7 linked regions of the Danio rerio genome follow. The main gene of each other region encodes a partner of the protein of the gene in region 4 in a complex. Links are inferred from orthologs where the notes say so. Each region holds a gene or a part of one and is shown on either strand. Other genes may lie near its edges. The genes, in order: taf12, tbp, taf11, taf7, taf8, taf5 and taf6.

Region 1 (4,412 bases), on a different chromosome or scaffold from region 4:
CCAAGGCTTAAACTAGCGACTTTCTAGCTGTGAGGCGACAGCGCTACCCACTTAAAATCTTAAAATCATATGTCACAAATATAAATGTACATTCTATTTAAATAAGTGCATATAGATAATATTTGAATTATATTGTTGTAGGAAAGCTGTATGGAGATGCTGAATACGTGGACGAAAGGCATCGACACCGCTTTGAGGTTTGCAATAAAGATCTACTCTAAAATACCGTAAATGTTTTGTTTTCTATTTATTCATGTTAGTAATCTTTGCATTTTTTTCCAGGTGAATCCAGAACTGAAGCACCACTTCGAGGATAGAGGTTTTCGATTTGTGGGTCAGGACCTAGAGGGGGAGCGGATGGAGATCATTGAACTTGAAGGTCAGTGATCGTCTAGTATTTGAAAAAGCGGTCAGTCAGTGCTCATTTCAACTGATTTCTTCTGTCCAAACAGATCACACGTATTTTGTTGGAGTGCAGTACCATCCAGAATTCACTTCTCGCCCGATCAAACCCTCACCACCGTATTTCGGCCTTCTGCTGGCAGCGTCTGGGAAACTGCAAAACTACCTCCAGAAAGGATGCAGGCTCTCACCTCGGTTTGTTGCTTCTTAAACTCATATCATCCTAAATTAATTTAAAGTGGAGACATGCAGTATACTGTGTAAGTTGTCTTATTATCTTGTTTTCCTTTTCTCTCTCAGAGACGCATACAGTGACCGAAGCGGCACTAGTTCACCAGACTCGGAAATCTCTGAATTCAAATTCCCATCGCTTTCTTAAAAAGGAAAAACCCACCTAATCATAAAAACACATGAATGACGTTTTATGATATGAATGTATGAATTTAAATAAATGGATAACAATGCTAATGTGTTGGTTTTAAAATGTGAACAAGTGTGTTGTGTACAGTGGTATAGAAGTGATAATTTATAGTTATTCATTGTACATTTTCATTTAATTTAATTTATTTAATTAATTAAAATTTTAGAAATAATGTGTTTTAATAATTTTAATTTGTATATTAAAGTAATTTTTTATTATACAGAACTAGCTGAAATATTATATATTAAAAGTTTTATGAAATATTTAACATTTATTGTATTTCGAGTATCATAACTAGTATTACTTGGATGGTTTTATCAGGAGTTGACATTAATAACAATGAGCTGTGTTTAAAATGGCTCACTGAACTTGTCTATGCAAATACATATGTAAATTGATTGTTTTTACAAACTAGGGGATTTTTATATATAGAGAGAGAGCACTCTACCACTTATAACTATTACTTTACCAAATAAAATAACAATTTGGAAGAGATCATTTTCCAGAAGGCTTCATCAACTTCTCTGTGCTTTTATTTTGTAAGACTTTTGAGATCTCGCGATACTTCGGTTGAGCTCCGTTCGTCAGAAGAGGCGCTTGTAGAAGGAAAAACAACTTGGAAGGGCTTGTGCATATTTCCAGACCTTAAACGTCGAAGATGGAAAGATAATACAGAATTATTTGCATCAGGTACTGCAACGATTAACAATTAAACGGAATTACATCAAACAAAAGGAAAGCATCGCGAGACGTGTATTGGCACGAATGTTTTTCTCGCTAATGTTAGCTGCTAATATGTTAAGCTACAGTGTGATGATTAAAAACAACAACTATGAAGAAATTCAGACTAAAAACCATACTTATTTGGTAATTTGCATTATATCACATTAATATCAGCATAACACTTACATTATCAATTAGTTTAAGTGAATTATGTCATAACACACTGGCGAAGCAAAAAGGCTAACGCTAGCATATACAGCAAATGACAGTTCGGTGATGTTTATTTCTATCGAGCTAAAAGTTCTTCACTTCGTTGATATAACTTACTTAAAACAGCCGTTTAATATCCTTAATGTATTTATGCATTGATTAAACTCAGTTGAACTCTTAATATCTTTTTTCTGCAGCTGATTTAAAACTCCCACTAGTTCTGAAGAGGCTTGTGACATTTGACATCTCTTGATTAGCATAGTATGACCCAGTATCCAGCACAGACCAGTCGCTCGAATTTCTACACGGTTGTGAAAGCAGAAGCCTCTTCAACACCGCCGCTGTCCAGCAGCATGGCCAACAGCACGGTCGCTCCGGGGAAACTGCCCGGCACCCCCGGACCAGCAGGCAGACTGAGCCCAGAAGGACCTCAGGTGGGTCAGACTGTACAGCTATTATAAGACTGAGGTAACGTTGGTTTTATTTTCGGATATTTGTTCAGTAAGACGGTCCCTATATTGTTTACTACGAATATTCAGTCTGTACTTGCATCAAAGTATGACTACAAAAGAATATTAGCACTATTTAATTGACTGTGAACAATGTTGTACTTTGATAGTCATTGGCTACTAATAAGATTTCTACTATTAGAATTTGCAAAGAATACTTTTCTGAAATTATATTATTGAGAAAGTTTGAATGTGCGAACCAACTTTTACTTTCACACGAACATGCATAAAAACATTCCTTCCTCTAAATGATCATTTATTTCATTTCTGCGGAAACCTAGAGAAGAAAGCAAATACACAGTCGAAGCTCTTCTTTAAAACTTATATTATATTATATTATATTATATTATATATGTAAAAAGAACCTAGATTAAAAAATGAAACAAAACAGTATCTAATTTAAATCTTAACATTTAACTACATTAATATAGTTTAAAATTAATAACAATTTAAATTGAATATAAATTTAATTTTTAAATATAACATTTTTCCCCATTATTAATGTAAAATCATATTGGCTTATTTAACCTTGTCTCAAAGCAAAATAAAAAGTAGCAACTATAATAAACTGTGTAACGTTAAATAAAATGTTTTTAAAAACTATTTGTTTGACTATTTTTGTCAAAACATTTTTGCTTCATTCAATCTATCATGATTTGCACTTCTACTCTTCCGTAGCTTTGGATGTAGCAGTATACCTATCATGATTGAAAATTTTGTGTTGATGATTACTAATCAAGCAAATAATTTTAAAAATATTTAGATTTTTAACAGTTTAGAATAATTTTATTTATTTATATACATATATACTTTTTATTTTGCTTTGAAACATGATTAAATATAGGCCAGTATGGCTTTAAAACTATGGAAAATAATATAAAAATTAGAATTAAATTTAAATTCCATTTTAATTATATTTATATTTAAATTATATTAATGTGTGGTAAATGTTAAGATTCAAATTGTATTTTTTTAGTTAAAATTTTGAGTCTTGGTCCGTTTTATATTAAAATAAAAAATCATATAAAACCAAGCAATCATAATGTTATATGATATTATAATATAACAATATATGTGGGAAAGAAGATCTTTGGTTCTCTGTTAGTTTGGTCTTCACAGAAATAAAACAAGCTGTCATTTACAGGTAAAATGTATATTAAGCATGTTAATTTGTTTATGCACTTAATTTCCCTCATTTAAAAAAAAAAAACCTGTTTTCAACACCTGAAAGTAGATCAAATAACAAAGATCAGACAAATAATCAATATTTGCGATAGACCTATATGTGAAAATAGACTTTTTTAAGCCAATTTAAAAATATATTGACATTTATGTATTTTTATTGTCCTCCCTACAGGTGCTCAGTAAGAAGAAGCTGCAGGACCTTGTTCGAGAAATTGACCCTAATGAGCAACTTGATGAGGATGTGGAAGAAGTACGTGTGTCTTATTATTGATGATGTTCAAAAGTGTTCTCACACATTCATTGTTGACTAGTCAGTTTGTTGCCCAAATTACCATTTTAAACACACTTGAATAATAAATAGTTGAGTTTGTGAGAAACAAATGGGATTTTAATTGCAATGATATATAAAACACTTAGGGAAATAATCAGTTGATGTACAGTTGCAATCAGAATTATTATCCCCCCTGTTGAATTTTGTTTTTCTTTTTTAAATATTTCTCAAATTATGTTTAACAGAGCAAGGACATTTACACAGTATGTCTGATAATATTATTTTCTTTTGGAGAAAGTCTTATTTGTTTTATTTCGGCAAGAGTAAAAGTAGTTTTAATTTTTAAACACCATTTTAAGGTCAAAATTATTAGCCCCTTTAAGCTATATATTTATAGTATACAGAACAACCCATCATTATAGAACAACCTGCCTAATTACTCTAACCTGCCTAGTTAACTTAAATAATCTAGTTAGGCCTTTAAATGTCACTAAGCTCTATAGAAGTATCTTGAAAAATATCTAGTAAAATATTATTTACTGACATCATGGCAAAGATAAAATAAATCAGTTATTAGAAATGACTTATTACAACTAATATGTTTAGAAATCTGTTGAAAAAAACTGCTCTCTGATAATAATTCCGGATTCAGGGGGTTTAATCATTCTGATTGCAACTGTATATTAGACCT
Region 2 (3,810 bases), on a different chromosome or scaffold from region 4:
GATTAAAGCAGTTTATAGATAGATAGATAGATAGATAGATAGATAGATAGATAGATAGATAGATAGATAGATAGATAGATAGATAGATTAAAGTAGTTTATAAATAGATAGATAGATAGATAGATAGATAGATAGATAGATAGATAGATAGATAGATAGATAGATAGATAGATAGATAGATAGATAGATAGATAGATTAAAGTAGTTTATAGATAGATAGATAGATAGATAGATAGATAGATAGATAGATAGATAGATAGATAGATAGATAGATAGATAGATAGATAGATAGATTAAAGTAGTTTATAGATAGATAGATAGATAGATAGATAGATAGATAGATAGATAGATAGATAGATAGATAGATAGATAGATAGATAGATAGATAGATTAAAGCAGTTTATAGATAGATAGATAGATAGATAGATAGATAGATAGATAGATAGATAGATAGATAGATAGATAGATAGATAGATAGATAGATAGATTAAAGCAGTTTATAGATAGATAGATAGATAGATAGATAGATAGATAGATAGATAGATAGATAGATAGATAGATAGATAGATAGATAGATAGATAGATAGATAGATAGATAGATAGATAGCTAGATAGATAGATTAAAGCAGTTTATAGATAGATAGATAGATAGATAGATAGATAGATAGATAGATAGATAGATAGATAGATAGATAGATATATAGATAGATAGATAGATAGATAGATAGATAGATAGATAGGTAGATAGATAGATAGATAGATTAAAGTAGTTTATAAATAGATAGATAGATAGATAGATAGATAGGTAGATAGATAGATAGATTAAAGTAGTTTATAAATAGATAGATAGATAGATAGATAGATTGATAGATAGATAGATAGATAGATAGATAGATAGATAGATAGATAGATAGATAGATTGATAGATTGATAGATAGATAGATAGATAGATAGATAGATAGATAGATAGATAGATAGATAGATAGATAGATAGATAGATAGATAGATAGAGATCTATCTATCTATTTTGAAAAAAGGATAGATAGATAGTTTTGAGGTCACAAAGTTAGATCTATTGTTAAGTCAATGACAGTCTTTTGCAATAAAAGTCTATGGGACAGTTGTTGCTAGGGTGCAGTATCTGGTAGTTAGGGTGTGGCTAGAAAGTTAAAAGCTCATCAGTTATTGGCAGTTTGGTAGTCTGAGTTAAATGAGCTCAGCCATTAGTCTGTAGGACAGTCTGATGCAGAGTTATGACCTCACAAAGTTTGATCCCATGTTAAGTCAATGAGAGTCTTTTGAATGGAAGTCTATGGGACAGTTTCTAGGGTCCAAAAGTGGTTGCTAGGGCGTGGCTAGAAAGTTTAAAGGTGATCAGTCATTGGCAGTTTGATAGTCTGAGTTAAATGAGCCCAGTTAGAGTTCTGTGCGACAGTCTGACGCAGAGTTATGAGGTCACAAAGTTTGGTCCAATGTTAAGTCTATGGGATTTTTCCGACGGTCCCGGGACGTTTTTCGGAAAATCGAAAGTCGGATCAGTCGGAAAAGATATGGCATACCGAGTCAGAATAGTTTGGAGGTCTGGTGTGAGTTTGGTGGTCATAGCTCGAAAGCTCTAGGAGGAGATAGATTTTGAATTTTAGTCTCAGAAGAAGAAGAATAATATATAAAAAAAATAATAAGTTTAAATAGGATTTCAGTAGTCTGGCTTGTTTCTCAAGCCAGCCTAATAATAATAATAATAAGTTTAATAGGATAACAGTAGTCTGGCTTGCTACACAAGCCAGCCTAATAAATTAAATAAATTAAAATAGTCTTATTTTCCCTTATACCAGGAGTTAAAACATAAACGGGGAATCCGTGAATCAGACATATGCTTGTGCCTTTTTGGCATTTTTCACCTAGCGTTCCATGACTTTGCTTCATGTCCATTACTATATGCACCATATATTCGGTAGGCTCAGTAATCTCTGTGTCATGATTAAAGACGCCAACCACAACTTAATGCATTCAACAAAATCAAACCATATACAGAGTAAAACAAAATAACAAAGAAAATCTACATCATTAACAAAGTTTTATATTATTTCAAGTTTCATTACAATAACAAACTTTGTACATCCATTGATAACTCTTTCAGCGTTTTGCTGCCGTCATCATGAGAATACGAGAACCCAGAACAACAGCGCTTATCTTCAGCTCGGGGAAGATGGTGTGCACAGGAGCCAAAAGGTATGAATGTCACCTGCACACTTGCTGTTGTGTCTTTCTACATTCTTGATGAACAAACAGCAGTATGTGAGTTTACCTTTCTTGTGTGAACTTCCTGCCACAGTGAGGAACAGTCTCGATTGGCAGCTAGGAAATATGCCAGAGTGGTGCAGAAGTTGGGTTTCCCTGCCAAATTCTTAGACTTCAAAATCCAGAACATGGTGGGGAGCTGCGATGTCAAGTTTCCCATCCGATTAGAGGGCCTGGTGCTTACCCACCAGCAGTTTAGCAGGTTTGTCTTTTGGTTTTGATTAGTTTGTTATTAATTTGTTGATTATTTAAACTACTTTGAGTTTTTCTGAATTTATTTGAATTTCTATTTCATACTACGTGATTTCAGTTTGATTTTTTTTTCTTACTTTATTTCAAGTAATTTGTAAACCTACAATGCGCATCAATTGGGGGCACAAGTTAAACTGTCAGAAAAAAACTTTTTATTTGGTTTATACATTTATTTGTTTAGTTTAGTTTTCAGTCCTACATGGCAGGTTCTATCACATTTGCAACTCCAATAGGATATATCCTACAAGGTTGACTCAAATTAAAATTAAGGCAACCTGCTTTAAGAAGTTTTGAGTCTTGTGCAGTATTTTGGGTTGAAAGTTAAGTCTACTAAAAAAAGGCTTTGCAGCAAAAAAAACTTTTTTTTTTTTTTTTTTTTTTTACAGTGTAGAATCTAGATATTGTTTTTAAACATGGAGAAACAAAGCGGAGACTCTGGTGGGAAAAGTCAGAATTAAAAACCCACATTTAAAAGCACTTTACAGAACCTTAAATACAATGCAAATTGACTACTAGTGACCCTGAATAAAATCAAACTATTATTATTATTAACATGCTTTTGTTCCTCTCACTTATTGTGATTGGACAATAGTTAGATGGGAAGAGAAGTTTGGCAGGAAAAGGGGCACTGGATAGAGAAATTTCCTCATACCAGGATTTGAACTTGGGATGCCCAAAGTGCAGTTATGCTTTGTCACTGGAGACAGAACATGTTTTAAATGTTACCAGTATTAGAAGAGAAAAATAAATGAGCTTGTTTTTAGTAGCCTGATATATGCTGCATGTCTTTATGATCATAAAAAAAGTGACATTTCTAGAAAAATAAGTGTTTGCTTCTATTATACTGAAGTATTTGCTGTGTGTGTTTGTTATTTCTTGGTGAGCACTATTTTGACTAGAAATTGGAATCTGACTGATAAATGTGATCTAAACTCTAATATACTGCTGATATTTCCTCCCCAGCTATGAACCGGAGTTATTTCCAGGGTTAATCTACAGAATGATCAAACCCAGAATCGTTCTTTTAATATTTGTTTCAGGCAAAGTCGTACTCACAGGTGAGGTCATAGTTACATTTGAAATGGCACAGATAGTACCTTGCAATAGTAGTGTGAGATTTATGAACATTGTCGTTTGTTTCCAGGTGCCAAGGTTAGAGGAGAAATCTATGAAGCATTTGAGAATATTTACCCCATCTTAAAAGGATTCAGGAAGACCTCGTAATCTCTTCTGTTTTTGCTGGTCAGTTCCTCGCTG
Region 3 (4,515 bases), on a different chromosome or scaffold from region 4:
TAGTGTGGGCAGTTAATGATATAAAAACAGCCTGAATCATTAAAAATGATGATCTGTTTCAGTGAAATGATGCTACATGACACGCCTGCGCCTAAACTAATGCATCACTCACACTCAATATGAAAGAATTGATGGACTTCCAGCAGGGGGCGCCTGTAGACCAGCAGGAATAACATTCAGTTTCTTTTCAGCTTAGTCTCTTTATTAATCCGGGGTCGCCACAGTGGAATGAACCGACAACTTATCCAGCATATGTTTTACGCAGCGGATGCCCTTCCAGCTGCAACCCATATCTGGGAAACACTCTTACACACTCATTCACATTACATACAATTTAGCCCACCCAATTCCCCTATAGCGCGTGTGTTTGGACTGTGGGGGAAACCGGAGCACCTGAAGAAAACCCACACGAATGCCGGGAGAACATGCAAACTCCACACAGAAGCCCCAACTGAACCAGCCGAGACTCAAACCAGAGACCTTCTTGCAGGAATAACAATGCTGCCATTTTCTTTTCAGCTTTGTCCCTTTATTAATCAGGGCTCGCCACAGCGGAATGAACCGCCAACTTTTTCAGCATATGTATTCAGCAACCCATCACTGGGAAACATCCATACACACTCATTCACACACACACACACGCATACACTACAATCAGTTCCCCTATAGCGCATGTGTTTGGACTGGAGCACCTGGAGGAAACCCACGCCAACACGGGGAGAACATGCAAACTCCACACAGAAACACCAACTGACCCAGCTAAGACTCAAACCAGTGACCTTCTTACTGTGAGGCGATTATGCTACCCACTGCAACACCATGTTGCCCAATATTCACAAATTAAACTTAGGCAGACAGCCACACACTGAATAATCCAAACAGACACAATATTTACCAGCTGTAAAAGACTTTAATACTTTCTCTAAACAGATTGATCAACTCTGAATTCTTTTTAAGACCTGTTTTTAATTTAAAGACTCACTCTTTTAATAGCTGCCTTAGGGAACGCCGAGCGCCTGTACATCTCATAGCGGTTCAGCTGCTCTTCAGAGAACGATGATACTAAAACTCTGAAACACAAACACGTCTATTAGTGTTATTATCAGTTTACAGCTACACACACACACACACAACACACACACACACACACACACACACACACAGCTCACTGCATCTTCTGGATTTCGTCTTCATCCACTTTGTGGCGTTTCTCCTTCTTCTTGTCGTGCGGCTCCACTTTCAGCTTTTTGGCAGGAGGAGGATGCAGAGATGAAGATCCCTCCTCCTCTTCATCACCAGCATCTTCAGCAGGCCTCTGAGGAACACAGTGATGCATGGTTGATTTATTTGCATGAGAATGAAACTGAATTCATTGAGGATGCAGAATGAAGAGGCAGAGACCTGACTGAGCGTCTTGCCCTCCTCTTTTACAGCAGTCTGTCCCGCAGCAGGGTCAGAGCTCTTACTGCTGCCCTCCGGACCCTCACTGGACCCCTCGCCCGGTTTGGGTCTGTCCACCGATGTGCCCGCTTCAGGTTTCACACGGGCCGGGTCTGCCATGATTTCAGCTGATGGATCAGGGAAAGGGAATGTGGAAATAATGGACACTGCTGTAGTGTGTTTATCTGCAACACATGAGCGGGAGTCCCTGATCCAATTACAACTGAGCACTGCAATAACACTGTTCTAACTCAGAGTGTCTGTTTCTAGTCCAAATATCTAAAATATCTCAAGAAGCCTTGCTTGTGTTTCATGATTGCAATATATATATATATATATATATATATATATATATTTTTTTTTTTTTGTAAGAATTACTCTGGATGAATACTATTGAATGTAAAAAAAAATTACAAAGATTACAAAAAGCAATTATGTAGAACAAATTGTCATATTACAAAAAAAGAGAGCAACCATTCATTACAATTTTTAAAAAATGTTTATATATATATATATATATATATATATATATATATATATATATATACATATATAATTTTAATGCACATGTATTTAATTAATTATTCTAATCAAATGATTATTTATTTGATTTTAATATTTAATTATATAATATACAATCTTTGAAAAGAGAGAGCAATTTGTTGTTGGTTTACAAAATTAAGAAAAAGATTTAAGGAACATTTAAGGGGAAAAAATGTGTAAACAGGCAACCATTGACTTATAATAGGAAAAACAAACCCTACAGAAGTCAGCGGTTACCGGCTTCTAGCATTCTTCAAAACATCTTCTTTTGTGTTCAACAGAAGAAAGAAACTCATAAAGGTTTAAAACAAGTAAAGCAAGAGTAAATGATGACAGAATTGTAATTTTAGGGTGAACTGTTGCTTACAATGTCAATACTGTCATTACAGTTTATAATTTAGTCTGTGTCTTCTATAAAACATATAGAGGTGAAGTTGGTTGTATATTCTGATATTCAGACATTCTCCTCAATATAATGTCAGAAAAGTATTGTAAATAGGGAAATGATATTAGCAGCAAATGACTATCAAAGTACAGCATTGTTCACAGTCAATTAGACAGTGTTAATGTTGTTTACAAGTCATACTTGCATGCTAATTCAGATCCAATATTCAGAGTAACATGCTAAACAATATAGAGACTGCTAAATGCACCAGTGTGCGGATATAAAACCTACTTTACCTCTAAATATCCATTAAGTCCCCATATATCATTGTTATTGATCGTAAACAACGCGATTAAACAGGGCTCTATCTAATGTGCATTAGCTGTATTAACGTTACACTCGGTCATCTTCAATGTAATGATAGTTTACTTTAGGTGAAAACGGTAACTTAACGATCATCGTAACTTACGATGCTATGTGTATTTGGGGCCGGATTTAACACTTGTTAGACAAAATAAAACCGTGAATTCATAAAAAAAATCAAAACATACCTAAGACCGACAACCGCGTTGAAAATAATGTTTAAAAACACAAAAATCCAACGAGTGTTCTCTGACGAGCGCCTCAGACCGACAAAGTAAACACGAGCATATCCGGTTAAACTACAAAATAAGAGTCCGCACAAGCGTGCACAGCCACGTCAAACACTTGGTGGCGCACAATACTATACATTAAAGCAGCGGTTCTCAGATTTCTTTCATCAAGGACCACCTCAGAAAAAATGTCTCTTCAAGAACCACCATAAGGAGCAGTACTGAAATGCAGAAGTGTAGTAGGCCCAATGAAGCAGCTCTGCACAGTTCAAAAACAAGGCAGATTAATTCCTATTAATACGAATATTTATTATTGTCAGCCACTTTAAACATTATAAATAGTTGAAACATAAACACTGTGCTTACAGTTACAAACAAACAAACAAACAAACAAACAAACAAACAAACAAACAAACAAACAAACAAACAAACAAACAAACAGGGACTAATAACTGATTTAATCCATCAAAATTCACTCGAGCTTTTAGTTTAATTGCAGAAACCCTTTAATTATTCATAATTATATATTTATTTGATAGATATTCACAAATGATTAAATCACATTTAATTATTTAAATGTACCCCTTGCATATAGTTAAAATTTTATGCTTATATTTAAATAATAATAATAATAATAGGCTAATTAATGATGTTATTTCAAATTATCCCATTTCAACTAAACGATATGTACCTAAAATGTCCATAAGGAGTATTTGTTTACTTTTTTATTTTATTAACTTGAGTAAATGTATTTTTTTATTTTTCACTGATTTGTTTGTTTGAATATATTGCCCATTTATTTATTTATTTTAATCAAATATTAATTACTTATTTGTTTCATTTTAATAATAAATATAATTTAATATATACAATGCAAATAATAGATATTTGCACTGATTATTTTAGCATGGTCAGGTTACATAAGTCAAATTGTTTCTTTTATTTTAAAATTGATTAAAATGATTTTGACTACTTGAAACCTAATTTTCAAGCCACTATTAATAACAATAATAATACGCATAATTCATACGAACTGTGGCCTCACAGCAAAAAGGTCTCTGGTTTGAGTCTCGGCTGGGTCAGTTGGTGTTTCTGTGTGGAGTTTGCATGTTCTCCCCGTGTTGGTGTGGGTTTCCTCCGGGTGCTCCGGTTTCCCCCACAGTCCAAACACATGCGCTATAGGGGAACTGATATAATGTATACAATATTGTGTAAACAGTAATTATACCCAGGGTTATTTTTATTAAAAAATGTGTGTGAATGAGTGTGTATGGATAATTTCCAGTGATGGGTTGCAGCTGTAAAGGCATCCGTTGTGTAAAACATATGCTGGAATCATTGGTGGTTCATTCCGCTGTGGCGACCCCTGATGAATAAAGTGACTAAGGCAAAGGAACATAAAAGAATGAATGAATAATAAATAAATCAGTAAATGGACATCACATTCAAACAGACGAATCAGTTTAAAATTAACAATAAAATATAGATGAAACAAAAGTAAATAAAACACTAAAATAAACATAATTACAGTATTATTATCTTGAGTAGAAAAAG
Region 4 (3,810 bases):
TATTTAATAAACATTCAACAGTACATTAAAGAAAATGGAAAAACAAAAAGAACACATTTTTGGGAAAAAAACAACAACAAAAACAAACAGAAGTTTAATTTTCGCGTTAATTTCTCTGCTTTTGTTTTAGATGCTGGTATGCACACTAGATGGAGATCTGTACCCCCCTCTAGAGGAGCCTACAGGCACTACTGACTCCAAAAGCAAAAAGAAAGACAAGGACAAAGACAAGAAATTTGTTTGGAACCACGGCAGTAAGCAGCTTCCTCTCCTCTACTGAAATATCATCTTAATTGGTTTCAAATGAATGTAGAGACAGGCTGTCTGTACTAAATGATCCAACCCTTTTAACATCCAATTACATCTGTCTCCATTCAGTTACACTTCCTCTAAAGAACACAAGAAAGAGGCGGTTCAGGAAGACAGCGAAGAAGAAGGTAACCTCATTTGCTTTTCCTTAACTATGAGGTTTTTATTTCTGATGATTCAGCAATTCTTTATCAGTCCTAGATGGACTACAATTGTTTGCTCTTGCGGGAAAAGAGAATCGAGTTAATGGTAAAAGCTAAGATTTACATATAAATAAAGCATTCCATCTTCATTTGCCATAAAAGTATGCAGTAAAGGCTGCTCTTCTGATTGAAATGACAGCAGGCCAGTTAGCGGCTGGTTCTTCTCTCTGACTCCTGAATAAATCACCACTGCATTCCAGCTTGCTATTGACTTGGCTTCTTTTTTTAATCGCTAATGTGTTCTCTGGCCTACATCCAACCTCTACTGTTAGTACTGTGTGTGCATTTGAATGCATGCGTGCATTTTTTTTTTTTTACAACGTGTTCCTTGGGGGTAAATTCTAACCTGATTTATCCTGCAGTACATCGAGTCTCCTGATGTGGAAAAAGAGGTGAAGAGACTCTTGAGCACAGATGCAGAAGCCGTCAGCGTTCGTATCCTTTAATTCTTGCTTTTGTTTCCCTCGCTGTCATGTTTTGTTGAAACTGTGTCACAACAAATCTACATGAAAATGTCATTACTAATGGATTGAGCTTTCGTTATACTTGGCCTCGCCACCAGGTGGCAGACTTGCTCACAAGTTAAGCAGAGCGATTGGGCAAGAAGCAGTCAGTTAAGCTCAGTATTACAGGAAAAGGTGGCATGAGTCACATATAAATTTGTGTAGCTCAGCAGCAGTGATACAACCACAGCAAAATGTCCTGGTGCCAAAACTGAGAGGATGAAAAGATAACAGGATTATTGAAATGAACCTTGACCCTGCGGTCAGGATGGGAGGTGATTGCTGAAGATGAATCTAAAGAACCTGACAACAGCTTATCTCTTTCCAACCTGGAGTCTTCACCCGGAACCTCTGGACACAAGGGTCATGGCTCTTCAGGTAAATGTTGTGAATACAAATCTTACTGCTTTCAGGGTTCCCATGGGTAAGGGATCTTTATTGTAGGAAAATTGAGGGTCAGGGAATTTATATATTTATATGTCAAAGTCAAGGAATATCAGGGATATTTGTTTGTCAATTTTACTTTTAAAATGTAAGTTTTCTATAACATTTTAGAAATATTATCATTTTACTATTCATGCCATTCGTTTTTTTACTTCCAGTTTATTCCTTTCATGCTCATCAACTGGCTGTCACTAAAGTCAAATGCAGTCACTAGCAGTGTTGGGGTATAGCATTAAAAGTAACAGGAGTAATGTAATAATCTTACTTTTCTAAGTAACGAGTAAAGTAAGGCAATACTTAATAAAATAAAGTAATAATATTTGAGTTACTTCTTTGAAAAATGTTGTGCAAGTTACTTTTTAGTTGAATTATTTAGCTTTTAAAAAGTAAATTGCTAAATTAAAATTGAGATGAGAGAATTTGTTCATTAATTTAAATCTTTGAAAAGAAATTGAGTTGTACTTGAAAATGGCTTGTACTTTACTAATAAGACAAAAAGCACAAAAGCAGCATACACATTGCTTTAAAATGTCATTCATCTGTATATATGACATGTAGAGCTTTCGGCTCAGGAAGTTCTCAGAAGATAACATTATCCTACATTATTCGTTTTCAGATGTGTTTTTTTAAAGGTAAATTAAGTTGTAGGTTATACAGTGTGTTGTTAATTGCAGCGCTTCTCTATTAAAAAAAAAAAAAGAAGGAAGAAAAAACCCTGCAAGTTCTGAAAAAGATCAAGCCTCATCCTGGTAAGGAAAAAAAGCAAGGCAAAATTAACTTAAAGCATTACTTACGATAAAATGTAACTAAGTAACACAACTAGTTACTTTTAAGGAGAGTAACTCAATATTGTAATGCATTACTTTCCAAAGTAGCTTCCCCCAATACTGGTCACCAGACTGTACCTTTTAAGTAAGACTTAACTAAGAATTAACTTTAATCATTTTTTTTAAACTAAGAAATTTTACCATTCATGTCATTTCATTTTCATCTCCAAATGTATTCCTTTTATGCTCATCAACTGGCAGTCACTGAAGTCAGATGCAATCACCAGACTGTACCTGTTAACTAAAACACTAAGAGTTTTTTTTTTACTTAATGTAAAAAAAAATACTATGGAATTTTACAATTTCTGCATCTTTTTTTTTTTACCTATAAATTATTCTGCTTTTATGCTCTTTACTTTATTTTGGAAGGGCACTTTATATCCAAGAGAAAGAAGGGCATGTGCACAGCGCAGGTTGAGCCCTATCTGTGTATGCGCCTGGTCACTTAAGTCAGATGCAGTCACCAGACTGTACCTGTTAACTAAGACTAAGACCTTTTTTGCTTAATTTATTTTAAGAATTTCTTTTTTTAAACTAAAGAATTTTAACATTCCTGCAGCCTCATTTTTTACCTCCAACATATTCCTTTCATGCTCATCAACTGGCAGTCACTTAAGTCAGATACAGCCACCAGACTGTACCTATTAACTAAGCCACACATGTCAGGATAAATAAAGTAAAACAATTGGTTTCAAAAGGACAGCTTAAAAGACTGGGTGTTAAAAAGGAGACAAAAGAAAAGCTAAATCAAAACTGTGTAAAACATTTGGCCACCTATCAAATATACTAGAGGGAGCACATCACAGACACACTCATAAGCTATGTTTCCATCCAACTGTACATTTTGGATATCCGCAAAAAAAGGGTTGATGTAAACGGCAAGATAAAAAGTTAACTGAGTAAAATAAACGTTTTATTCAAAAAGAGATGATGTGCATATTCTACGATGGAAACACTTTTTAAACAAATTTCAGGATGCTCATTAAAAAAAGTCATGTGATTTTGTTATAAGAGATCACGTGATGATAAAAATGTTTGTGAATCGACAAATCAAAACGCACATTTGAAATGATGTTTTAGTCATTCTAAAATGCCTTAACCTTTTCTGTATTAATGTTATTATATTATTGATTACGTTGATATATTTTAAGTAATTATTTACATTATTATATTAATTAAATCAGGAGTGTCTATGCTCCACGTCTCACTCCTTCAAACGCCACCACATGTTAATTGCGTGTCAGCATTGTTTTCGGAGGTGCAAGTCATTTATTAAATAAGTAAAAGATTGACGCAGCATCTCCTACCACAGCAAATTCCGTCTTCACTGTTGATATTTGGCACCAGTTAATCAGGAAGTCATGATTTTGGATGGAATTGCTGCTTTATTCGCACATCTGTTATGCGATATTCCAGTTTTCTGCATACATTTCATTCTTTGGATGCAAACAGCTATAGTGGTTATTAAAATCATGCTAAAAGATACTGATGCTGAAACTATTTTGATATTATTTGAAAAGTATT
Region 5 (4,384 bases), on a different chromosome or scaffold from region 4:
ACTAAACCATGTATATATATATATATATATTAAAAAAGAAGTTGAATCTTTAATTTGTCCTAACATTGAAAGTAAACCAACCCATTTCGACGAGAGTAATGACCACATCAGACAGAGTAGGGGTGCTTCTGGCTGTGTGCTCACAGTTTGCCTTTGCGCAACGTCCAACTTCTGTTATATCTATCAAAAGACAACAAGACTCTTAAAAATCAAAAAGTACCCAATTCACCTACAGCACATGTCGTTGGACTGTGGGGGGAAACCGGAGCAAACATGAGCTCTACTTATTAAAATATATTTAAGAATAAATGGTCATACTAGACACACAAAAACATGTATTTATCCATTTATGACCTATTAATAAACTATAACTTAGCAGACAAATAAGTAAACTAGTAATCTAAATAAATAGTGAACAAGTAAAAAGATTTAAAATGACAATAATTAAAATTTTTGGGAGCTACACTTTTCTAAATACTGTATGCCTGACAAAAAAAAAAAACTTTTTTAGTGTATACAATATTAGTCTTATTGACATTTCAGTGATAATTTATTTGCTCAGATTAATATATTTTTAAATAGACACATTCTAATGTACAGAAAAGTGTAAAGTAATTGTATTGTTTTGTGAGCTTTTATTCAACTATAGCTCAATTTTGGTTCCCAAACTGTGGTTAAATTAGAACATAGAACCATAAATTACATACAAATACACACAAACGTAAAAAGTAAAACGCGATGATTTGTGATATTGGTATGCATAAGCTTTTAAATTTTGTCAAGATGAGCTGCTTAAAGTAAATGAAGGACTCACAGCTCTGCATCATCTCAGTGAGTGTCTCCACAACAGCTTTCTCAGCGCTATCAAAGCCACACTCGGTCAGCAGAGCACTGACCACCACTTGCAGCGTGCGTCTCCGAGCCAGCTGATAGTTCTCTGTGGGACTGGTGCAGGTCTTACTGCTCCCCGAGCGCTGGAAATAATAAAATAAAAGATGATAAGAAGGTTTTACAGATCAGGAAGTTTTAAAACATATCTGCATTTAATACAGCAAGGCATTTCTTTGAAAATGCAATAAAAGAGATTAAGTTAGGGCTAAATGAACTGCATTTATTTGAAATGTTTTACAATTAGTATGGTTCCTATACTGTAAGCTTCTGAGTTTTTAAAAGGTTTCAAAGTTTATTCTAAGATTAGTGTTGAAGAAAGAGGAATTGTATTTAGTGGTAATGACTAGGCCCACACGAAATCTGCGCGCGCAGATTTTCCGCAGAATTTCTGCAGATTTTTAGCCCATCATTAATTCTGTTTATTTACTTGAGTAAATGTGTAAATCTAAATTTATTCAGTTTTTATTCAGTAATTTATTACTTTTTGTTTCATATATTAAGGTTTTAGTTTTGATACTCCGCTGGATACTCCCAAAATAATTCTGCAGAAATCCGCAGATTTTTACCAAAAATCTCAGCAGAAATAGCAAAAAACATCTGCAGATTCCGTCTGGCCCTAGTTATGACTCATGAATATAAAACTTTGAAAAAATAATGGAAAAGTTAGTCATGTAATTAAGTTTTTATGAAAATCAAAACGTTTTGAGGTAGATTTACTTTACTGGAAATTACTATAACTCACATTGTGGAATCGTATGTGATTTTAAGTTAATTTCTGCTTAGTTAAGTTGGTTTTATATGGCACATTCATAAAGTGACAACTTGTGAGTCGCTATATTGTTTTCCATGCTACTTTGATTATTAAGTGTAAGGGATCAACCTATATTAAAACATTGGTCAGGGATTTATTAGGTCATTTAAAGGAACCAAATCTTGAAGATCTGAATTACTTGATTCAACTCAATTGAGTCAAACTGAATCAGATTAAAAGCTTTACCTACTAAATCTACCATTTGTCCAGCAAATAGAAGACATCGTATTTTACCAATCCTGTTTAAATTAATTCCATGGCCAACGATAACATAACAGTATTGGGTAAAATTTTAGCTAGGTAATGACTTCAAAACAACATTATCACTGCTGCTAATAGGATTTCCCTATTTAGAATTTGCAAACAACATGTTTCTGAACTTATATTATTAAGGACAAAGTCTGAATGTGTGAATATAAAGCCACCTTTACCTCAATCTTTGTTAATGTTTTTTTATTTTTTATGGATGGATCCTTAACAAAAAGTTAGGGATTTTGTAAGGCTGTGCTTATAATTACTGAGGCAAAAATGCATCTATTGCATTCATTTTTGCATCTGAGAATCTGGTTAAGATTACTATTCCACTGTGGATTGCATTAAGAGTGTGGTATTAAATTATGGTATGTAAAACTGCCCATTCCTGTCAATAATCTAGTTTACTGTTAATATATTATGCTAACCCAATTCTCCATGCACAATAACTTGTCATTATGAGTGACATTAGCATTGTTTCATAGAAAACTCCTGCTGGGAGAAAATTGAGTTTGTACAGTTGCAGTACAGTAAAGTTTGTGATTTTCGGCTTTAACAAGACGTTTACCAGTTATATAAAACACTGTTTGACGACACTGATCTGCAACAGCTCACTATATAATTGATATATATATATATATATATATATATATATATATATATATATATATATATATATATATATATATATATATATATACAGACGTGTTTACATACGATACGGTGTCTGCTTTAAAATATATTACACAAGTGCCTTTAAGTCTAATTTTGATCAAAAAACTAAAGTTAGTATTGTTTGGCTGAGCCAGCAGGGTGAAGGAAAGAGTAACGTTAGCGTTAATGAAAGGAGATATTTAACGTACGCTTCCGGAGTTTAAAGATCCGCTCCCCATCATTACCGAGTCTGCCATTTTAGAACTCTAGTGGTTTTTCCTCTGATGTTTAGCATTCGCAAATAAACTCATTGTGCGTTCTGCGTTTGCTAAAAACTGTATTTGGTGTTTTTATATTGGGCGAAAATGGCAACCCTATCAACATTTCCAACAGGGCGACCGGAAGGTTGTTGTTTTCTGTGCAATTCCAAAATAAAAGTCAAACAAAGAAATAACTGTTGCATAGCCATTTCCTAAAAATGAAAGCAAAAGTAGAAATTTGCATTTTTTGAAGTCATCGTCAATACGGTATTGTAGCATGCTCATAAAACTTTTATTAAGTTATTCTAAAGACTTCTAAATATGTTATCTTTATTTTTATTTTAATGATTTGAATAAAAGAACCATCACACACGAACTAGCTGTTAATGTTAATAGTTAAATGTCGAACATCTTACAGAAATGTCAAGTCTTTTAGATAACAAAATGTTCACATCCTTGCTTTCTACATGATTCTTTAGTAAAACGGTAAACTGACACAGAAGATTTAATTTTTAAGTTCTGACCTGAAAACGAGGTACAAAAGCTAGGTAAATCAGTTTTAATCCTAGTTTTATTATAATATTTGAATCGTGGGAGTAGACACAAACACCTCAGACCTTAATGCTACCAAATTATTATATTATTTTATGTATTTTTCATATAATTTGACATGTTAATGGGTGTCTGTGTGTTTTTATGTTCTGCGGAGCAGGAATCTGCTGAAAAACAGCATTCATGCTGAGTCAGGCCCAATTATCTTTTAATCTTTTCATGTTAAAAAATTATAAATAAATAAAAATTTTCCATGGAGAGCACAGATGATGGTTGCTTAGCAAAGGCTGATACCACAAATGCTTTGAAATGAGTGGACAAAGCGAGACAGACCAACAAGGCTTTAAAACGGATGAGGATAATAAACTTTCATCATGATGATGAACTAAAATGTCACATAAGTGCAGTAGACATGATAAAACCAAAACAATGTCTTGTCTTGAGAATATCTGAGAAAGACTGTAAAGGACCCACTTTCTTCTGGAAATAGCTCATTTGCATTTAAAGAGATGCACATTTTTTGGGTCATTTTTTTTTTTGCAGCATGACATAAAAAAATAAATGATCTGTAGCTTAATTTGAGCTGTAGCTGCACATTCTGTGGACACAGAAATGCATTACGCCTATTTATTATGAAGCAAAATTGGTCTCCTTTATTGTGTCTTAGTATATCCGGTAGATCTGCATTCTGCATATGGGGCAGAAGGTTTAGCTTAATGTGTTAAAGGTCAGATTTGCCAATCAAAATGTATCATTGTGAAGCAATCTCAAATGACAATATTTCTGTAGTAAATTTATATTTATTGATTTAAATAAATAAATATTGTGTCATTCTATTTTCTAAAGATTGGAAATCATAACAGTAATTCAAATAATTCATTTTATTGCAGCGATTGCTTTAGATGTAGGAAATAAAAAGAAGTGTAAATATAGTTGTGTGTGTATTGTGAAAAATGCTTTGCAA
Region 6 (4,466 bases), on a different chromosome or scaffold from region 4:
AAAAGAACCACACCTTTCACCAGGCTGTCTATGGGCCTGTAAATGGTAGGAAAAAGGCCATTCAAAACCAAACAAATGCTGTCTCCTTTTGAAAATATATATGTATGTCTATATGTAGCAATTCAATATACATCTATCATATATTCAACAATTTAACTAAAAACACATTCAAGCCTCTCTTCCCTTGTTTTGTTCATTGTATATGATGAACGTTTAACAATCAAAAATATAACAAAATCATGCAGTGAAGACATTCAAATAACAACAGAAAGACAGAATAATAATAATAATATAACATTTAAGTAAAATTTAAATAAATTGAATAAAAAACATCCATAATTACAAAAAAGGAGTTTAGTTTTTAAAGTATATACAAAATTCTGAGAGATCACTGTTATTGCTGGATACATTTTATGTATAATTTTATTCCACAAACTTTATTAGTGACACACATTTGTTTTTTGTTTTTTTATATGTATATTTTTTATATCTTTATATATATATATATATATATATATATATATATATATATATATATATATATATATATATATATATATATATATATATATATTATTGCACATGCTGAATATTTAAAAATAAAACCATAACACAAATTTGCAATTATGACATCCAAATCATAACAGAAAACAAGACAAAAATCAAATAAAATGAAAGAGAATTTCATTCAAAAACAAAACGTCAGATTTATATCTTTGTATTAGTATATCATTCTTTTTCTTTTTGGCTTCGTCCCTTTATTAATCTGGGGTCGCGACAGCGTAATGAACCACTAAATTAACCAGCATATGTTTTAAGCAGCGGATGCCCTTCCAGCTGCAACCCATCACTGGGAAACACCCATACATTCTCATTCATACACATACACTAAGGACAATTTAGCTTACCCAATTCACCTGTACTGCAGGTCTTTGGACTTGTGGGGGAAACCGGAGCACCCGGAGAACATGCAAACTGAATGCCACACAGAAATGCCAACTGACCCAGCTGAGGATCGAACCAGCGACCTTCTTGCTGTGAGGTGAGCATGCTACCGACTGCACCACCGTGTCGCACTATTAGAATGATGTAATGTTGTTATTACTATTATTTTGTAGGGTGAAACGGTGGCTCAGTGGTTAGCACTGTCGCCTCACAGCAAGAAGGTCCCTGGTTAGAGTCCAGGCTGGGTCAGTTGGCGTTTCTATGTGGAGTTTGCTTGTTCTCCCCGTGTTTGTGTGGGTTTACTCCAGGTATTCCCCCCCCCCACAGTTCAAAGACATGCGGTAGTTGAATTGATTTGCCGTAGTGTATGTGTGTGAATGGGTGTGTATGGGTATTTCCCAGTACTTGGTTGCAGCTGGAAGGGCATCCGCTGTGTAAAACATATGCTGGATAAGTTGGCAGTTCATTCCGCTGTTGTGACCCTTGATGAATAGACTAAGCCGAAGGAAAATGGATATTATTTTGTTTATTATATGCTGCTTAGATATATAATGATGTATATGTTTAATGAATTAAAGTTCACATGAAAAAAAAATAAAAATAAAACGTCAGATTTACGTCAGACGTACCACATGCGTCATGACGTAATCACATCCAGCGCCGGGGGAAAAATGGCGGCTGTGCAGGATGGACCGATGGAGGTGGACGCAGAGAAAGAGACAAAACCCGAAATCCTCAGCGATGGGACGGCAAATCCGTCGGGGAACACCGGCGGCGGGACTCTGTCCTCATCGCCACTCACCGCAGCCCCGGCCGCCGGAGCCCCGAAGCCGGAGGACCAGCAAACTCTGCTCGCGGTGCTGCAGTTCCTGAAGCGAAGTAAACTGGCGGAATCGGTGGAGATCCTGCGGCGGGAGGCTGGTTTAGCAGAGGAGCTGGAGGACTCGCATACCGACGCCGGTGCAGGAGGGAAGGACGGAGACGCAGGAGATACAAAAACTCTGCTCAGCCGTGTGTCCATCGCCGGTGCAGCCGCCCCGCAGAGCACACTCACCCCCATACCTGCGAAGAGTGAGTGACAGCCGCAGACACACACTGATGCTGGGGCATCACTTTTATTAAACCCACTGAATGATTAAATGCACTAGAACAGAGTCATCAACAGTAGTTATTTCTAGAAGATGTAAAACAGTTCTTTTGTAGCACCCTCACCACCTGATGAGGGACAGTAATGTTATTGAAACACTGCTTCTGTATTGTTTTTTTTTTCTTTGAGTAAACTCAGCTGTATACTTTCACAGCATTGTAACACAGCATATGAAAACAACTTTCTTTAATTCATTCATTTTATTTTCGGCTTAGTCCCTTCGTTAATCAGGGGTCGCCACAGCGGAATGAACTGTCAACTTATCCAGCATATGTTTTACGCAGCGTATGCCCTTTCAGCTGCAACCCATCACTGGGAAATGAAAACATCTTCACAAACAATATTATATACATCTCAAAAACTTTCTGAATATTTACAGACAATTTTCCTGCACAAAATTGTTGCACATTTAATATACAGTCATTACGGAATTCTTCATAAACAAACTATTCACAGTTTAATTGTCATATACCATATACACAGTCATATAACCGACTCGCATACATATTTCACTTTTTACATATACATCATAACCCACTTTACATGAACTTTAAACATTGTAACCAGCAATGAGAGTTAAAACATCACTTTGTAGCTACTCTTTAACTATACCCCTTTTATTAGCTGTTATGTTGATGCATATAATGACATTTAAATGATCCCAGTAGCTGTTAAAATTAGAGTTTATATACACTATCGAGTTGTTTTAATAGATGACACTTGTTTCTTATCACTGACACACACACACACACACATATATATGTATATATATATATATATATATATATATATATATGTATATATATATATGTATATATATATATGTATATATATATATATATATGTATATATATATATATATATATATATATATATATATATATATATATATATACATATATATACATATATATATATATATGTATGTATATATATATATATATGTATGTATATATATATATATATATATATATATATATATATATATATGTATATATATATATATATATATATATATATATATATATATATATATATATATATATATATATATATATATATATATATATATATATATATATAAAACCTTAATAATTAATTTTTTTTTCATTTATTTATTTATTTTTTTAGGTTCATCTTAGGTCAGACATTAAAATATACATAGTAATGATACATATAGATATATACACTGATACACTTCACCAAACAAGAAATTATCAGGAAAACATAATTATGCTCTAAATAAGTTTATAAATAAAAGGTAAAATACCATATTTACACACAAAGATATACAAACATAAGAAAACATAAATAAAAAAATTAATAAACAATACAAAGAAAGGTAAAAGGTAAAAAGGCGATTAAGATATAGGTGTCTCCTTTAAAAAAAATGCATAAAAGGGCTCTAGACTTTCTGGAACTGTTCTGGCTTTTGTTTTATTGTAAATTGAATCTTTTCCATCTGAAGAGCATGTAGGAAATCCAAAACCCATTGCCGATAAGGGGGAGCTGCTGACTTCCAATTCATAAGAATAAGTCGTCTAGCCAGTAAGGTTGCAAAGGCTACGCTATCGGCCTGTAATGAATTTAATTCAGCATATTCTGGCAGGATTCCGAACAGCGCTGTTAAGGGGTTTGGGTCTATTGACAATGAAAAAACAGCAGAAAAACACCTGAAGATTTTCCCCCAAAAATCAGACTGTTTGAAACACGACCAGAAAGTATGTAACAGTGTGGCTGATTCGGTTGTACAGCGAAGGCAAGTTGGGTCAAGATCAGGGAAAATTTTATTCAGTTTTGTTCTAGACCAGTGTATTCTGTGCACAACTTTAAATTGTATGAGAGTATGCCCAGCGTTTATTGATGATGAATGTATTCTTGCAAGAATAAGATCACAAATATTTTCAGCGATTGTTAAATTCAGTTCCTCCTCTCAAAAAGCCCTCAGTACATGTGTTGTGGGGGACTGTTTTGTGTTGATAATAGTAAAGATTTAGAAATGACCCCTTTTGAAGAGGTATGAATGTCGAGTAAATCATCAAGTATACTTTTATTTGGCACAATGGGAAAATTAGAAACTGCTTATGGATAAAGTGCCGTGTCACTGACATGTATTTAACACATAAGTTAAAAATGAGGGACGATATGTTATTGAAACACTGAGCTGCTGCTTTACGTCAGAGTCTGTGGATAGTCTGTGATGTAAATCGTTGCATTCCATTGATTTACAACATAGATCAACTATTAAACATTTACTTTCTCTTTTCTTTTACGTAGAAAGAAATGTACACATTTAGAAAAAGAAATTAACTTTATTATTATTTATTATTATTTTTTTCAATTTTTAATAATTCTTAACCACTTCGCTTTATTC
Region 7 (3,414 bases), on a different chromosome or scaffold from region 4:
TTTAAAACTCTTACCTGCTGTGTGGATGCAGCCCCTGCACTTGTTGCCATAACAATATACTTTGTTGCTGGGGGTGATGGCTGAGTGGGTGTTCCAGGTCGAGTAGACATGAGGGTAAGTGAACTGGGTACTTTAATTATGCTGGGTGTACGTGAAACACCTGATGTTGACAATCCACTCTGAGACATTGTCAAAGTCGGACGTGGCTAAATACAAGACGGAGAGAATTTAGGTTTGATGTGTATGATTTTAACAAGTATGACAAATATTTTATTTAAAATTTACTCACCTGTGTGATAGTAAGTGTGGTTCTGTTAACAGTTTGGGCCTGAAAGGCAGCCTGTGCACGGGCCTTCACCACATGTGAACATAGCATAGTGCCCAGATAACCATAATCTGCTTTGTATTGCTCCACCAGATCTGGGACCGGCCTAGTTTTAGCAACCACACTTGCACAATGTTTCTAAACACAGAGACCAGAAGGAATTACATTTTTTTAATGCATTTTATATATACAATCATATATATATATATACTAGTGCCGATATACATCTATATCACACTGCTACGAGTGTGATATTGCGTTTATACAACAGTTTGACGGCATAATTGTGTATATAAAAACAAAATCAAACATGGAAAGTCTCAAAAACTTTTTTTTGAGGAACTCTTTTCTTCTGCGTTGGATTGAAATCATAGGCTGACAGTTAAACAGCTGAGCAAGCATCCTTTAAACTTTGATCTGAAGTGTCTGCTTTTTGCTGGCTGCATGTGGGCGGAGTAATACACAAAGTGTAAAGAGGCTGTACTGGTGCTGATATTAAATATATCACTGCTATCAGCCAATCAGATTCGAGAACCAGACAGAACTTTTATTTATATATATAATGGCACAGCACAGCTCTTCGTCAGCTGCTGCAGAGATTAATCTATCTCTGTCTATTCTATCTAGTTACACATATCTCTATACAAAAACACTTAAAATAAAAATAAAAAACTTTTTAACCGTGGCAGCCTTCTACTATGCTGTTTCTTTAACCTGCAAGTCTTTTTTTTTAGAAAGAATAAAGATCCTACAATATTGTATGCTTCTCAAGCTCTATGAGGAATGTCATTCATGTCTGGCGCACTCACAAGATAATCGCCTGAGATATGTCATTTGGTTTTTGATTGTCAGGTTGTTGTAGGCCTAGTTATAATAATATTTATACAATATAGTTATAATGATATTATTACAAGATCAAACTAGTGTTACTTTCTCTGCTTCAGTGATGTCCAGCGGTAGAGTAACAGCTCGTGTAAAGGATGAGACGAACAAAAGTAATCAATGCATGCCCTTCTTTTACTTATTTTCGTGTTGTCAGGTTTACAGTGCAAACAGCTCCCAGGTGAAATAACTTAATGAACATAAAACAAAGCCAAATAAAACTTTCTTCCTCTGCTTTAGCTGCACAGCACAGAGCGAGCTCACATCATCCAGCATGCGAGTCAAACTACACTACCCACAATACATTTCGCTATGGACTACAACTCCCGTAAATAGCGTCAACTTTCTATTTCCCTTTTCCTGCAACACTAGTGTGCAACTTAAGCAAAACAGATACTAAAATTGTTTTACATTTGGTTTTGTAGTTCAGGCCTAAGATCCGTCTCATGCTTCCACTAGAGTGAAAGCACCACCAGCAGTCAAAAGTGACCAAAACATCAGCCAGAAAGTATAGGAACGGAGAAGTGGTCTGTGGTCACCACCTGCAGAACCACTTCTTTATTGGGGGGTGTCTAGCTAATTGCCTATGATTTCCACCTGTTTTCTATTCCATTTGCACCACAGCATGCAAAATTGATTGTTAATCACTGTTGCTTCCTAAATTGGCAGTTTGATTTCCCGGAAGTGAGATTGACTTGGAGTTCCATTGTGTTGTTGAAGTGTTCCCTTTATTTTTTTTAGCAGTGTATAAATGACCATGTAAAAAAACTTAAAAGCATAAGATAAACACCACAACAACTGCTTATCAACGATTAAGAGGCTGTTGTAAGGTACTTACCAGTAATAGACTCTGGACATGATCAGCTCCAATCTTATCAATATTGGATACCACTGGCCCATCCATCACTGCTTTAATACGGGCACCCTCTACAAACAGTCGGGGGATGATCAAAGTCTTTATCACCTACATAGTCAGAAAAAGACATCAAATTTCTCAATTTAGAAACTTAATGCTTTTAATGCTTACAGTTTTTCCACATAAGTGCCTTCAAAAGTCAGACACCATGGACAATTTAGCCTGAAATCAAATAATGTCAAATATATCACAATTTTTTTTTGGGTCCAGTTGAAAATGGGGCCCGGCCCTCCAGCGGGGAAAGAGCAAATTCCCTTTTCTCTGAATTGTCTCAGGTCTCAGGTACGCTTAGGTGTCTGTTACCAGACTTAATGGCACCCTAGGCAAGGAGGGCTGCCAGCTTCCGTGGTACTTGACGTGCCCGCTTCGGCAGAGGCACAGGCAGGCTTACCGTCCTGCCGATAGATGACATTACACATCGCATTAGACTGCTCTCTCACCACCTTGAATTTCTGGGGGAATTCACAGACGGTGTCACAGAAAAGGCCAGCCTTGGATATGAGCAGGGCCAGATTGAATCTGCGGATGTTTTTTGCTATTTCTGCGAACAATTTTGGTAAAAATCTGCAGATTTCTGTGAAATTATTTTGGGAGTATTATAACTAAAACCTTAGATGTAAAATAAAAAGTAATACCTTTTAAACTTTTATTTAATGTTTGAATTGCAAATTCAATTAGATCCACTTTATTTGGTAAACAAAGCAAGTCACTATATATCTACTAAAAGAACAATTTCATATTAGTCAATAATATTACTGTAATTAATAAAAAACTGAATAAATTTAGATTTTCACACATTTACTTAAATAAATGTAAATAAACAGAATCAACGATGGGCTAAAAATCTGCGGAATTCTGTGGAAAATCTGCGGAACTCTGCATGCGCAGATTCAGTGTGGCCCTAGATATGGGGCAGTCAACACACACACACACACGCGCGCACACGCACGCACGCAGGGGAGAAAGACAGTGTGCTTAATGACGGTGAAATGTTTGATACCGCACGTCGTATTGGAGAAAAAAAGCCTCTGCTTTCTCTGCAGAGATGCACTCAGTAGGTCAGAAAGCCATGTGTGTGTAGACAATCCTGTCACAAAATGTGGCGAAAATTCAACACGACGGTCGGCAAAAGTTTGCTTACAGTGCTCACGTGTCTACACACAGAGAGCAGCATTTACAGCCGATCTTTTAATATTGTAGTGATATCAACGTACTGTAAACCAAGTAACTTAGAAATCATTTTGACTAAGTTCTGTCTTTAAACACTGAAAGAGTACAGCTGACCATACGA

What was found.
Region 1: taf7 (region 4) and taf12 share a complex: the UniProt entries of both Homo sapiens proteins name them as parts of the TFIID basal transcription factor complex. The link is inferred for Danio rerio from reciprocal best matches to the Homo sapiens genes TAF7 and TAF12.
Region 2: taf7 (region 4) and tbp share a complex: the UniProt entries of both Homo sapiens proteins name them as parts of the TFIID-containing RNA polymerase II pre-initiation complex. The link is inferred for Danio rerio from reciprocal best matches to the Homo sapiens genes TAF7 and TBP.
Region 3: taf7 (region 4) and taf11 share a complex: the UniProt entries of both Homo sapiens proteins name them as parts of the TFIID basal transcription factor complex. The link is inferred for Danio rerio from reciprocal best matches to the Homo sapiens genes TAF7 and TAF11.
Region 5: taf7 (region 4) and taf8 share a complex: the UniProt entries of both Homo sapiens proteins name them as parts of the TFIID basal transcription factor complex. The link is inferred for Danio rerio from reciprocal best matches to the Homo sapiens genes TAF7 and TAF8.
Region 6: taf7 (region 4) and taf5 share a complex: the UniProt entries of both Homo sapiens proteins name them as parts of the TFIID basal transcription factor complex. The link is inferred for Danio rerio from reciprocal best matches to the Homo sapiens genes TAF7 and TAF5.
Region 7: taf7 (region 4) and taf6 share a complex: the UniProt entries of both Homo sapiens proteins name them as parts of the TFIID basal transcription factor complex. The link is inferred for Danio rerio from reciprocal best matches to the Homo sapiens genes TAF7 and TAF6.

What each region holds. Positions count from the first base shown.
Region 1 is NC_133191.1:38,669,859-38,674,270, reverse strand, and holds the start of taf12 (transcription initiation factor TFIID subunit 12), read left to right. Parts: upstream 1-1,428; 5' UTR 1,429-1,513; intron 1,514-1,953; 5' UTR 1,954-2,019; coding exon 2,020-2,190; intron 2,191-3,622; coding exon 3,623-3,700; intron 3,701-4,412. Other genes in the region: ctps1b (CTP synthase 1b), read left to right, coding at 142-197, 283-379, 453-597, 703-781. UniProt on the Homo sapiens protein: The TFIID basal transcription factor complex plays a major role in the initiation of RNA polymerase II (Pol II)-dependent transcription.
Region 2 is NC_133188.1:27,589,309-27,593,118, reverse strand, and holds part of tbp (TATA-box-binding protein), read left to right. Parts: intron 1-2,140; coding exon 2,141-2,232; intron 2,233-2,335; coding exon 2,336-2,503; intron 2,504-3,516; coding exon 3,517-3,611; intron 3,612-3,697; coding exon 3,698-3,777; 3' UTR 3,778-3,810. UniProt on the Homo sapiens protein: The TFIID basal transcription factor complex plays a major role in the initiation of RNA polymerase II (Pol II)-dependent transcription.
Region 3 is NC_133198.1:379,733-384,247, reverse strand, and holds the start of taf11 (transcription initiation factor TFIID subunit 11), read right to left. Parts: upstream 3,014-4,515; 5' UTR 2,665-3,013; intron 1,626-2,664; 5' UTR 1,561-1,625; coding exon 1,402-1,560; intron 1,316-1,401; coding exon 1,170-1,315; intron 1,071-1,169; coding exon 983-1,070; intron 1-982. UniProt on the Homo sapiens protein: The TFIID basal transcription factor complex plays a major role in the initiation of RNA polymerase II (Pol II)-dependent transcription.
Region 4 is NC_133189.1:45,457,557-45,461,366, forward strand, and holds part of taf7 (transcription initiation factor TFIID subunit 7), read left to right. Parts: intron 1-130; coding exon 131-254; intron 255-378; coding exon 379-437; intron 438-874; coding exon 875-947; intron 948-1,282; coding exon 1,283-1,393; intron 1,394-3,810. UniProt on the Homo sapiens protein: The TFIID basal transcription factor complex plays a major role in the initiation of RNA polymerase II (Pol II)-dependent transcription.
Region 5 is NC_133198.1:35,334,770-35,339,153, reverse strand, and holds the start of taf8 (transcription initiation factor TFIID subunit 8), read right to left. Parts: upstream 2,936-4,384; 5' UTR 2,866-2,935; coding exon 2,818-2,865; intron 975-2,817; coding exon 815-974; intron 181-814; coding exon 82-180; intron 1-81. UniProt on the Homo sapiens protein: The TFIID basal transcription factor complex plays a major role in the initiation of RNA polymerase II (Pol II)-dependent transcription.
Region 6 is NC_133176.1:52,726,603-52,731,068, forward strand, and holds the start of taf5 (transcription initiation factor TFIID subunit 5), read left to right. Parts: upstream 1-1,584; 5' UTR 1,585-1,616; coding exon 1,617-2,016; intron 2,017-4,466. UniProt on the Homo sapiens protein: The TFIID basal transcription factor complex plays a major role in the initiation of RNA polymerase II (Pol II)-dependent transcription.
Region 7 is NC_133180.1:59,074,134-59,077,547, reverse strand, and holds part of taf6 (transcription initiation factor TFIID subunit 6), read right to left. Parts: intron 2,172-3,414; coding exon 2,046-2,171; intron 464-2,045; coding exon 290-463; intron 207-289; coding exon 15-206; intron 1-14. UniProt on the Homo sapiens protein: The TFIID basal transcription factor complex plays a major role in the initiation of RNA polymerase II (Pol II)-dependent transcription.